3 linked regions of the Elephas maximus indicus genome follow. The protein of the gene in region 2 purifies or fractionates together with the protein of the main gene of each other region. This does not show direct contact. Links are inferred from orthologs where the notes say so. Each region holds a gene or a part of one and is shown on either strand. Other genes may lie near its edges. The genes, in order: ARHGEF12, GIPC1 and SH3BP4.

Region 1 (3,744 bases), on a different chromosome or scaffold from region 2:
TGAGAAAAGAGGATGAAGTAGGTAGGGCTGAGAGGAAACGAGTGACTATTCTATGCTCATAACTTTGTGAAGGTCCCCCAGCTCAGAAATACTACGAAACCAGTATTTCCAGATTTCACCCCAACATCTGTTCAAGTCAAGGACGACTATTCTCCTCAAGAGCTTGATGTTTACAGGGTAAGATATTTACAGAATAAGAAAGGCTTAAAGAAAATGTAGTGGTCACATAAGAACGTATTTTGTTCAAAAAAAAAGCTCGTATGTTAAAAAAAATAATAATAAACCCCTGAGAAATAGGTATCCATGCTGTCTTAGCAGCGCTTATTAAATAAAGCTGGTTTTAAAAGGGTTTTGTTTTTCCTCCTAAAAATATGTAAAATCAGGCAACACCTGAACCAGTTCAAGGATATTAATACCTAAACTAATCTGCAGGTTAATCTTAGAATACTAACCTTTCGTGCCTAGCACAGTGCCTGGCTTTCAACGATTGCATACTGAATGTCTATACCCCACACCCAAATTATAAAAAGGACACAAATCTCAAGATTATAATTTCTAAAATAATGAAAATATAAAGAAAATCCTGGGAAGCAAAGTTGAAGGTCATTATTTGGATGCTTTTTTTTTTTTTTTTAGGTGATTTACGCGTGGAATAAGCTGGTGGCCCTAAATTCTGTTTCTGTAAAATTAAACACCTCTAGCATCACAATAAAAACTACAAACACATTAGTTCCTAATCAGACTTTTTGTCCACAGGCTCAACAGACCGAGCAAGAATTGAATGAAACAGGAAAACAATTACCCACAGACCCGTGAAAGTGATTTCTCAGAAGCAAAACACCCTGAAAGGAAAAAGAAATGAGGGTAACGAGAAGAAAGCACATTGAATGTGCTCTCAGAAAAATAAAAAATGATTTAACTGAAAATTAAAACCCATTTTAAAGACTATGCAACCAAAGAACGAATATAAATAGTTTAAACATTTAATGGAATCTTCTAGGTGAACATTCACATGACACTGGAAAGCACCAACAGGAAGAGGAAGTCCTTCTGTTTCTGGAGTAGCTGTTATGGTATGATAATGGAATTTGGCCCTTCTAAAAACAACAAATTAGTCTTACAATTGGGTGAAACGCTCCTATTAGGAAATTCTGCAGGACCTCTATTGTTGCACTTTCATCAAAGTGTTTTTAAAAACCTGGCCCTCTAATGCAGTTATCTGATCTATTTTGTGTGTGTGATGTAACAGTTTGAAGGTTGACTTAAAAAAAAAAAAGCTGAAATTTCAGTTCAGAATACAGTGCCATAATTAAATCGAGCATCAAAATGTGGCAAAGGAATAAATGTACTTATATCTCTTCATCTACTATTGAGAAGAGTAACTTAAGACTGATAGAGGGTCTCTTCAACCAGACACCTAGTTCAATTCACCAAACAAAGGTGCAACTTCGCTGGGTACTGTAACAAAGAATTCAACGAACCCACCTGCTGCATTTGTACTACATAAATCACCTAGGGTTTTTACAAGCCCTTAAAGGCAAATGTTTTTTTGGAAAATGAAATACTAAAATATAACAATTAAAATCAAGTCCCATGATTTTCCCTCATTTTTCCCCAGCTCCTTAATGCTGCTTCCAGCCAGAGGCTGTGATTTACTGGCAATTTTAACATTCTGGAAAATTATGAGATAATTAAATATTGTGTAAGTCAATACGTAAGAGAGATCAAATTCATAAATCACCATGCAGCAGGCTCAAGATCAAGTTCACGGATAAAAATTCCTAAAATATAGCAGTGTCTAGAGGATCATGGGACAGGAATCACACTGATGAAGCACCAATACCCAGCTGACTTTAGGCACTGACCTTCACCCAAAATGACCTTCCTCTGGTTCCAAGATGAGTACAGAATACTAAAACCCCTACAAACAGAAAACCACAATCTCGGTTTGACCTACTCCTTCTCTGGGACTCTAGAACAGTTTCTCTCCAGAAAAACGAACATTTCCAAACTCAGTCAGCCGATAACTTGGCAGCAACCCTAGGCTATTCGAACAGCTCCGCAACAACCCCCTCTCCCATGGCTGTCAACTTCTCTGGGCAAAGGCAATGGGCATCGCTGCCTCTCCTGCGGGGGCCGGCCGAGTCTAGAAGGCTAAGCGAAGGAGGAGCTTCATACCAACCTGTCGGTGATAGTAGACTGTGTGCCACTCATTGGGGCCCTTGGCGAGAGGTTCTCCTTTTATCCAACTTGCATTTTACAGTAACACCTCCACCCCACCCCCAATGCTCTGGGATCAGGCCCGACTCCGTAAGGGACACAGAAGTCCAACTCAAAACTCCATTCAGTCATCTAGAACATCCGATTGGAAAGGGTCAAGGAAAGGGGCTATGGGTTGGAGCAAAATCAGTTATCTCCCAAAACAAACCGAGAAAGTCAAGCTCGCCAGAAGGGGCGTTCTAAAGCTAGCGATAAATCCTCAAGAAGGCACAAGGAAAAAACTTCGTCGCAGTGGGAAGTCCGCGCGCCGTGGGGCAGGGGGCCCGGGGAGCCCTCCGGGACCGGGGAGGGATCAGGTCGGGATGGGTGCCGGCTCCTCCTCCGGCTCTCGGGGGCGCAGACCGCCGGCCGCGGCAGCCGGGCCCGCTCGTCTCCGCTCTACCGGGGGCTGCCGGCGGCTCCTGGCTGCAGCCTCGGCAGCGTCTCGGGCCGTCCCGCGCCAGGCTCGCGCCGCTCCATGTCCCCGGGGCGCAGGACCGCTCTCGTCCTCCTCAGCGCCCGCGCCAGGCTCCAGGAGCTGGGACGAGCCGCGCGCGGCTGCTGGGGCGGAGGGGGTCCCGCAGCCAGAGGTGACAGGGGCTCGGCTCTCTCAGCGCCGCGGGCTGCTCCCCATCCCTGTGGGCCCGGTCTCTTCCGCAATCGGCACAGGCGGCGGCGGCTCCTCCCCGACGCTCCGGTAGGCGGTGGTTCCCGCGAGGGGCGGGAGGTTCCCGTCCGGCCCGGCCTGGAAGCGCCAGCCCTGGACGCCCGCGGGCGGAGGCAACGGAGACTCCGCGCAGGGCCCGCTCGCCGGGTCCTGGGGGCCCTCGCGGGAGCGCGCGTGGGGGGCGGGGAGCACGCCGGCCGGGGGGCTGCGCGGCTGAGCGCGGGCGCGCGCGCGGGTTCCGGTTCCGGTTCTGCCTCCCCGGCCCCAGCCCCGTCCAGCGCGAGCTCTCTGTCCCCTCCCCCGCCGACTTTTTTGGCCTCCTCCCCTCTGACTTCGGGAAGCCGGCTCACTCGGGATCCCTCCGCCGCGCTCCGAGCCGTCGCGCTGCCCTCGCCGCCCCGCCAGGTCTGAGATTTCGCGCCGCCCCCGCACGGACGCCTCCGCCGGAGCCTTGTTTGGAGGAACGAAAAAGTAGTTCCACGGGGCGGAGGGAGGTGGGAACCGTCCTGCCCGCGGGAGTCCCACCCACACACCCACCGTCGCCCCCAGCGCTGCAGTCTTGCTGAAGTCTGGCGTGTAGTAACTCAGCTTTAACTACAGATCGCCAAAGAGCACTCCCACAATCCCGGGGACTTAATAGGGGCTCTTTGGAAATACCTCCCACCTTGTCCTAGAAACTTTTATTCTTTGACTGCACCGGTTGCCCTTATTTTCTAAAAGCACGTATAGAATGTTTTTGGCCGATGGACGTGAACTTAGGTCCAGGTGTCTGGACACATCCCTCTCTTCTGAAGGAAAGACAGGTTTTAGTGTTGGGC
Region 2 (3,744 bases):
AGAATACCTATCTCTCAGGGGGCTCATGGGAATCCAACAAGATTATACATGCAGCCCACTTAACACTTTGCCTGATAACCCCTTTTAAAACCAGTTGCTGTCGAGTTGATTCTGACTCATGGCGACCCCATGTGTGTCAGAGTAAAACTGTGCTCCATCAGGTTTTTAATAGCTGATTTTTCAGAAGTAAACTGCTAGGTCTTTCTTTTGAGGTGCTTCTGGGTGGACTCGAACCTCCGACCTTTTGGTCAGCAGTTAAGCGCATGAACTGTCTGTACCACCCAGGGACTCCAATATTCCATTTAAGGGAGTTATTATTATTATTATTGCCCCCTCACCCACCCTGCACGGGAACATCCCAGTCCTCTGTCTGCCAAGACCAACTCCAAGCCACCACCTCCAGGCAGCCTCCCCTGCTTGCCCCCGCCTGCTGGAACTGCCTCTGTGGCCCAGCCTCTGTGGTCCAGCAGGCTCAGGCCCATGAACTTAATTACAAGCTGCCCTGGCAAAACTCTTATCTTCCAGCCTTGGGCTGTTATTTAACTTTATGACTCTATTTTAAAACATAAACCAGATCATGTCACTCCTCTGCCTCAAACCTTAGAACGGTTCCCACCTCACGGAGGAAAAACTCCAAACTCCTTACTGTGATCCACAAAACCCTGCAGAATCAATGCTCTGGCCCTGTCTCCTCCTCCCCAATCACACTGTTCCAGGCTCGTTCCAGCATCACGGCCTTTGCCCTGGCTTTGCCCTCAGCCTAATTTTCGCAGGGCTGGCTCCTTTGTGTCATTCAGGCCTTGGTTCCATAATCACCTCCTCCGAGAGCCACCCCCCCGTGCTCCCAGTAACTCTTTATCATGTCACCCCCTTATATTTTATTCATAGCACTGACCTCGATCTGAAGGTACCTCCTTTACTTGTTAGTTTGTGGCCTGCTCCCCCCCACTAGAATGCCAGCTCCCCAAGAGCAGAGATTTTTGCCTGTCTTGTACCCTCTGTGCCATTGTAGATGGCACATAGTAGATGATCAATAAATATTTATGGAATGAATGAATGAATGTCTTATGTCCTTACTCTGCTTTCTGAGCCCCCCATTCTTAGAAGAGTGCCCCACCATGCCTACTGTGGAGTTGCTAACTGCTGCCACTTCCCTGCCTTCCCAGAGTCTCCCCTCGAACCTGAACACAGAGATAAGAAGAGCTTCAGCCCTGGCACAGAGTGGGGTGGCCCGAATTCCAGTATTCCCACCCTTTCATCCCTGGGAAGGCCGGAAACTTAGCAACCCCAGAGCCACACAGAAGCACAGTTGAGGAAGTAGGAAGTGGGGAAGGGGGTTCCTGGGAGCTCACACAGGCTGGAGGGGACACCACGCCCAGGCTCCCCCTTCCAGCAGTGTTATTGCTTTGGCAAGACGGAGGGCGGGAGACCTCTGATTCAGCCTTGAAAAACCGGCTCCTGGGTGTTTCTTGGGGAAATGCCTACTGCTCTAGTCTCGGCCCAGGCTGCCCAGGGAGCCCAGTGGGCACAAGACCCCAGCGTCCTGGCCCCCTGCCCATCTGCCCCCCATCCCCCAGATGTCACCTCTTCTCAAGACCCAGGTATTTGTATCTTCCCTTTCCAGCTCAGTGGAGAAGGCACACGAGGGCAGCTTCCTGTTCGAGTGGCTGGTGTTTAGTGACCTCTGGGTGAGGGATGAAAAGCCCAGCAGGTGTGGCTGGGTGAGGTGTATGTGGGGTGCGGGTAGGGGGGCTTGGCTGGCAGAGGAACCAGACAGGGACGCCTGAGCTATGGAGCCACAGGCCATCTGGTCTGGTGGTTGAAACCCCAGTTCTGGATTTTGAAAAGCATGGGTTCGAGTCCTAGCTCTGCCACTGACCAGCTGTGTGACCTTGGATGAGTCTCTCCACCTCTCTGGCGCTGCTGCCTCACCTCCAAAAGAAGTAGCATCACCTCCCACGAGATGTTTAGACTCCATGATACCATGGTAAATGCCTGACGCGGAAGCAATAAATGCTAGCCAGTGTGATTTCTTCATGATTAGTATCGGGACTTCTATTCTCCCCGGCTCCCCAGCCCCCCAGCCCCTGGAGGGCTGAGACACGCGGCGAGTTCCAGGGAGGTGCCAGGGCAGGGGGCAGAAATACCGACCCTGCGCCCATCCCCAGCCGGACAGGGCTGCCCAGGGGGACAGGAGTTGCGGCCTGAGACCCAGCCAGGAGGCGGAGAGGCCTTTGCCCCCTGCCCTCGACAGGAAGAGACGCACCTCGCTGGGAAGGAGCCTCAGACATCCCAGCACCGGGCCTCGAACTCCAGCGGGCTCCACGGGGCCGACCCCACCCCGCGCGCCGCATCGCTCGGTAGGCCGTATTACTTCGCGTCCACGACTCCGTGTAACCCGCGTGTCCCCGCCGGGGTCCTCGAGCGGCCGACCCTCCCCAGGGTATACTCACCTGCGACGCCGCCGCCGCCTCCGCCGCCGCCTCCTACCAGCTCGCGCCCCTCTCGGCCCTCCGCAAACTCCGGCCCGGGCCTCTGCCGCAGCCGCGGCCAGGGGGCGGGGTCCACACCGTGCGTCCGGCCAATCAGCTGCTGCGGCCCAGTGTTCGCGACCAATCCGCACCGCCGCGCGTCGGGTGGGTCCGACGAAAACATTCCAGAGGGATCCCTCCGCCTCACCCGGTTCTTCCCTACCCCCCCCCGCACCGCGGAGCAGTGGACCGTCCCGCCTGCCTGGGCCGTGCTGGGCTGTACCACCGTGGGGCTGCGGAGGGGTGGACCGTGGCTGGGCCCAGGCCAATCGCTGGGGAGGAAAAAGGCGAGCGGCCAATGGGAAGCTGGGACCCCTGGACCACGTGCTGTTTGCTGAGTGTCGGTCTGGGTTGTCCTGAGTGGTAAGCAGCAGAAAAGGGAGTTGGGGCGCTGGTCGTGGAAGTCAGGTGGACGAAGGTGAATTTCGCGGAGAGGATGAGAACTCCCAAAGTCCCGAAAAGCAGACTCTTTAGGAGGCCTGAGAGGGCGCCGAGAGCAGCCACCAATCCACTCCCCCTCCCGGCCTGCCCCTGCTCCATTCTGGCTATCCTCGGAGTGGATAAAAGGATGCATTCATTTCAGGCCTGTGTGCGTGTGCGGGGACCGAGATGAATAGGGAGGCTCCCGAGTGTCCCTGCTTCCTGGGGGTGCACAATGGACAAGGGCAATTATTCATTCATTCACTCATCAGATATTTAATGTGCTCCTGCTCCGTGCCAGGCTTTGTCTTAGCTCTGCAGACACATCACTGAATATGCTTCTCACGGAGGGAACAGCCTGTGCTGAAGGTCGGACGGGGAGATACAGCACACCTAAGGAAAGCATCTAGTACAGCCGTTGCTGTCCAGTCGATTCCAACTCATAGTGACCCTGTAGGGCTATATAGAACTTAGAACTGCCTTATAGGGTTTCCAAGGCTGTAATCTTTACGAAAGCCGACTGCTGCATCTTTCTGCCGCGGCTGGGGGGTTTGAACCGCTGACCAAGTGCTTAACCATTATCCCTCCAGGGCTCCCTGCCCAGAAACCCAGTGCTGTCGATTCGATTCCGACTCATAGCGACCCTATAGGCCAGAGTAGAACTGCCCCACAGAGTTTCCAAGGAGCACCCCCTAAGCATCTAGTTATTGAAAACAAACTTGTTGCCATGGAGTTGGTTCCGACTCATAGCGACCCTATAGGACAGAGTAGAACTGCCCCATAGAGTTTACAA
Region 3 (3,744 bases), on a different chromosome or scaffold from region 2:
AAACACTAAATCTCTCCAACAGCTCAGAGGGAAACAACGTGGGTAACCAGAAATCAATTCAGCAAACAGTCAAAGAGAAAATCCAGGAAGGCGCCCCTTCCTCCCCTCTTGCAGAAAACTTAAAAGCATATTAACAGATAACACAGAGGGTTAAGGACACTCTGTAGGCAACTTATCCAGCCCACCTTCCAGGTCTTTCTCTCCAGAGCAGAAGTGGAAACAAATGCCCCTCCCTGAGCTGTGATCAGCTACTAGACTTTGATCGGATCGATGTATTGGCGGGAGCAACAATTAAACAATGAAAGCATCAAGTGAGGAACTGGAGCCCAGGAGACCTGTTACAGAAAGCTGATCTTCCAGCCTGGTTTCTCTGCAGGAGACACAAAAGGCAGGCTGGGAGGCAGCTCTTCTTACTTGGGCTTTCAGTAGCTAAAATTAACTGGGGCTTTTGGTTGCTATTACTGGTTTTGAAAGGACACCAGCGGGTGGTACAGGAGTCTTGGGAAAACAGGAAATACAAAAATTAAAGCTTGCAGAAGCTTCTCAGGACACCGTCCCCAGGCCTCCACGCTGGTCATTGTTCATCTGGTAAACAAGCCAGCCATAAAACAAATCCCTTGGAAGCCAGGTCTGTCCACTTCCCGAGCCTCTCTCCCAGAACTAACTGTTCCCTCTGATAAGCACAGCCTCAGCATTCCACTAACTTCAGGCAGTGTGCCACTGGGGGCCTGCCTGAGTATCACACCAATACCCCTTTACTGTTAGAAAACCCTGTTCTACACCACCCCACGCACAAGCCGTTCGAGGTTGCTGGGTCTCCTCCAGGCTCTGCCACTTTCTGAGTGATGTACCCTTGGCCAGACTACACTGACCAAGGACCCAGGAATGTTCTGGTCCAGGCGCCATCAGCCATTCCTGGAGTCTTGTTCTTGGTCAGGATGGCCAGGTAGGAGAGAGGCTCTTTTATGGGATGATGACAGCAATGTGGACCAGCAAAATGGTCCCTGGCACGTAAAGTACAGCCGCTGGCCCATCCAAAGACGTCAGATGCTTTACAAACCACTCATTAATTTTTGTGGTGGCCTGAGGAACAGAGTCAGAACCACTGCCTTCATTTTTATAAGGCAAGGAATCAAAACCACAGGGCAGGTTCAGAGGCACCGGGCCTGGGCCAAAGTTCTCGGGCCCAGAGGTGGGATGGAGACTCTACGTGGGGAGGTAGCCAGGCCCATCAACCCAAACTTTGGTCCTTAGGGTCCATCATGTTTAGAAGGTGGGGAACGCTGCATAGTGGGGTTACTCTGGTTTAAGGATCAACGGCTGGCTGCCTGACAAGGCTGCGCTGTAGTTTTAATGATTAAACTTGCAAGACTGTGGTCCTGATTTTGTAAAAATGTTAAGGGCTACTAGGAATGTGGGCTCAGGGATGGTTTCAGCTTTGCTGTGTACATTTCTCTTTATGTCCACGTTTGCTTCCATGAGTATATTGCATTTGTAATCAGAACTAAAGTTAAGCAAACTTTCTCACTGATAAAGTACACAGTAGCAGTTCGCTGCACTAACTTACAAAAAATAAAACCAAAACAAAACCCTTTGCCTCGAGTTGATTCCGACCCATAGTGACCCTATAGGCCATAGTAGAAATGCCCCACACGGTTTCCAATGAGCGCCTGGTGGATCTGAACTGTGACCTTCTGGTTAGCACCCATAGCTCTTAACCACTACACCACCAATCTAAACTTGAGTTTCCTTTATAAATCTCTTTTCCCTCTTGGGCTCCACAACTCTTGCCGGCGCTCAAAGAGCCCGGCCCAGCCTGCAACCGCGGCATCTCGGGGCGCCCATCACCAGGGGCAAGGGCATGCGCGGGCCTGTCCCCCCGGCTGCAGAGCCAGCCCCGGGCCAAGAGCCGCGAGGACTCCAAGGCTGGTATCCTAACAGACCACTAGACCGCACTGAGGCGCGGGTTTACCCGTCAACATCACCTACGGAACAACCTGCCTCTATCCCAGCCCTTCCCCACCCGAGGCCGCCGCGCTCTCCCCTCGCGGCTGCTTGGTCACTGGACGGCCAAGCCAGAAACCAGAGTTTTGATTTTCATCCTAAAACAAAGGTTCTCCGAAGAACTTGAAATGTGCATTGTCACCAACAAGTTTAATCCAGGACCGCGTGTCCTTCCCTCCTTCCCAAGCTGCGCTAGGAGGGCGCCCCAGCTCCTCCAAGCGCCCCAGCCGCCCCCATGACCCCGTGAGCCGAACGCGCGCCCCGATTCGCTCCCCGAGGCCCGCCCGGCCGGCTAGGGGGCCGTCCCCGCAGGGCTACGAGCCCGGGAGAAGAAACGCGGCGATGGGGCGGGGACCGGCCGGGCGCACGCGGGAGCTCCGAGCGCGGCTCAGCGCCGGGGACCCCCGCCTGCCCGCCACTCGGGGAGACCCGCGCAAGGCGGGGCGGCGAGGGGAGCGCGGGGCTGCCCCGGGGCCCCGAACTCAGGCAGCGGGGAAATGGGCGCCCCCAGGGTGTGCAAGCCCCAAGCCCGAGCGAGGCCAGGCGAGGCCAGGCGCGGCTGGAGGGTCCGCAGGGATCGCCCGCGCCCGGCCGAGGGCCCGCGGAGCGCGCGGGGCGCCCGAGTCCGCCCCGACCGCCGGCTCCGGGTCGCCTACCTGGCTGCATGGCTCCCCGCGGCTCCGGCTGTGCTCGCTGCCCGGCGCTCGGCCCGGTGGGGGCGCGCGGCTCCGCGGGAAGCACGGCGGCCGCGGCGAGGGGCCGAGACCGCCCAGATGCCCGGAGCGCTCGGCCCCCGCCTCCGCGGCAGAGTGTGGTCCCCGGGGCGGGGCGGGGCCGGGGCGGGGCCGGGGGCGGTCCCCGGGAAGGGGCGGGCCAATGAAGGGGTGGTCCCCCGCGCCGGGCGGAGCCGAGAGCGGGGGTGGGGCCGGGGTGGTCCCCAGGGCGGGGTGGTCCCCGGGGCGGGGCGGAGGGCGGGCTTTCTGGGGGCACGGCCCCTGGGGAGGAGAGGTCTTAGCTCCGGGGCGGGGTGGGAGGTGGTCCCCGGAGCAGGGCGGAGGGTGGGGCCGATGTGGGGGGACGGTCCCCATGCCGGGCGGGGCCGAGGGCCTGGGAGCGAGGTGGTGGCGGCCGGGACCGGGGCGCGGGGGGCGGGGGGGCAGGGCGCCGCGAGTCTCGGAACCCCGCGACGCTCCCGCCTCCTTGTCTCCCCCTGTCCCGGTCTGCATTCTCTTCCTCCTCCTCCTTCTCCCGACGCCAGCCAGGGACTCGGGGTCCGAGCAGCCGGACGGCCCCCGAATCGTGCTCCCCGGTTACCAAGCGGTTCTGGCCGCGCTCCTTGCTCCTCGCGCCCTATCCTGCCCGCGCCGTCTCGGGGAGCCCCTGGGAGGAACAGCAAGAGCGCAGGGCGAGGGCGCGGCGGGTAGCGCGCAGTGCTGGGACTCCTGCCTACAACCCCTTCATCCAGGACCTACTGTAGGGAAGGCAGCGTTGAGGGGCTGTGGGGCAAATGCAGAAAAAGGCATTCTCATTATTAATTACAAAGGAAGGCGAGCTTCCTGTAAGCCGACGACGAAATGAACACTTCGCGTCAATAATCAGAGCTCTGCTCTGACTTCGCCTGGCCGTGCCCCACCCTGTCTCCGCGCCTGGAGCCTGCCTGGCACGCAGTAGGCCCTCAATAGAGGCTCAGTGAATGAACGGACCCCTTCCTTGTGGCAAGAACTTTCCAAGGACTGACAC

What was found.
Region 1: the proteins of GIPC1 (region 2) and ARHGEF12 purify together in Homo sapiens (co-immunoprecipitation; 4 studies listed by BioGRID and IntAct, with this or other methods). This does not show direct contact. The link is inferred for Elephas maximus indicus from reciprocal best matches to the Homo sapiens genes GIPC1 and ARHGEF12.
Region 3: the proteins of GIPC1 (region 2) and SH3BP4 purify together in Homo sapiens (affinity purification with mass spectrometry; 4 studies listed by BioGRID and IntAct, with this or other methods). This does not show direct contact. The link is inferred for Elephas maximus indicus from reciprocal best matches to the Homo sapiens genes GIPC1 and SH3BP4.

The regions. Positions count from the first base shown.
Region 1 is NC_064835.1:12,969,836-12,973,579, reverse strand, and holds the start of ARHGEF12 (rho guanine nucleotide exchange factor 12), read right to left. Parts: upstream 2,259-3,744; 5' UTR 2,215-2,258; coding exon 2,183-2,214; intron 1-2,182. UniProt on the Homo sapiens protein: May play a role in the regulation of RhoA GTPase by guanine nucleotide-binding alpha-12 (GNA12) and alpha-13 (GNA13). Acts as guanine nucleotide exchange factor (GEF) for RhoA GTPase and may act as GTPase-activating protein (GAP) for GNA12 and GNA13.
Region 2 is NC_064821.1:33,083,607-33,087,350, forward strand, and holds the start of GIPC1 (PDZ domain-containing protein GIPC1), read right to left. Parts: upstream 2,564-3,744; 5' UTR 2,454-2,563; intron 1-2,453. UniProt on the Homo sapiens protein: May be involved in G protein-linked signaling.
Region 3 is NC_064824.1:137,113,616-137,117,359, reverse strand, and holds the start of SH3BP4 (SH3 domain-binding protein 4), read right to left. Parts: upstream 2,813-3,744; 5' UTR 2,661-2,812; intron 1-2,660. UniProt on the Homo sapiens protein: May function in transferrin receptor internalization at the plasma membrane through a cargo-specific control of clathrin-mediated endocytosis.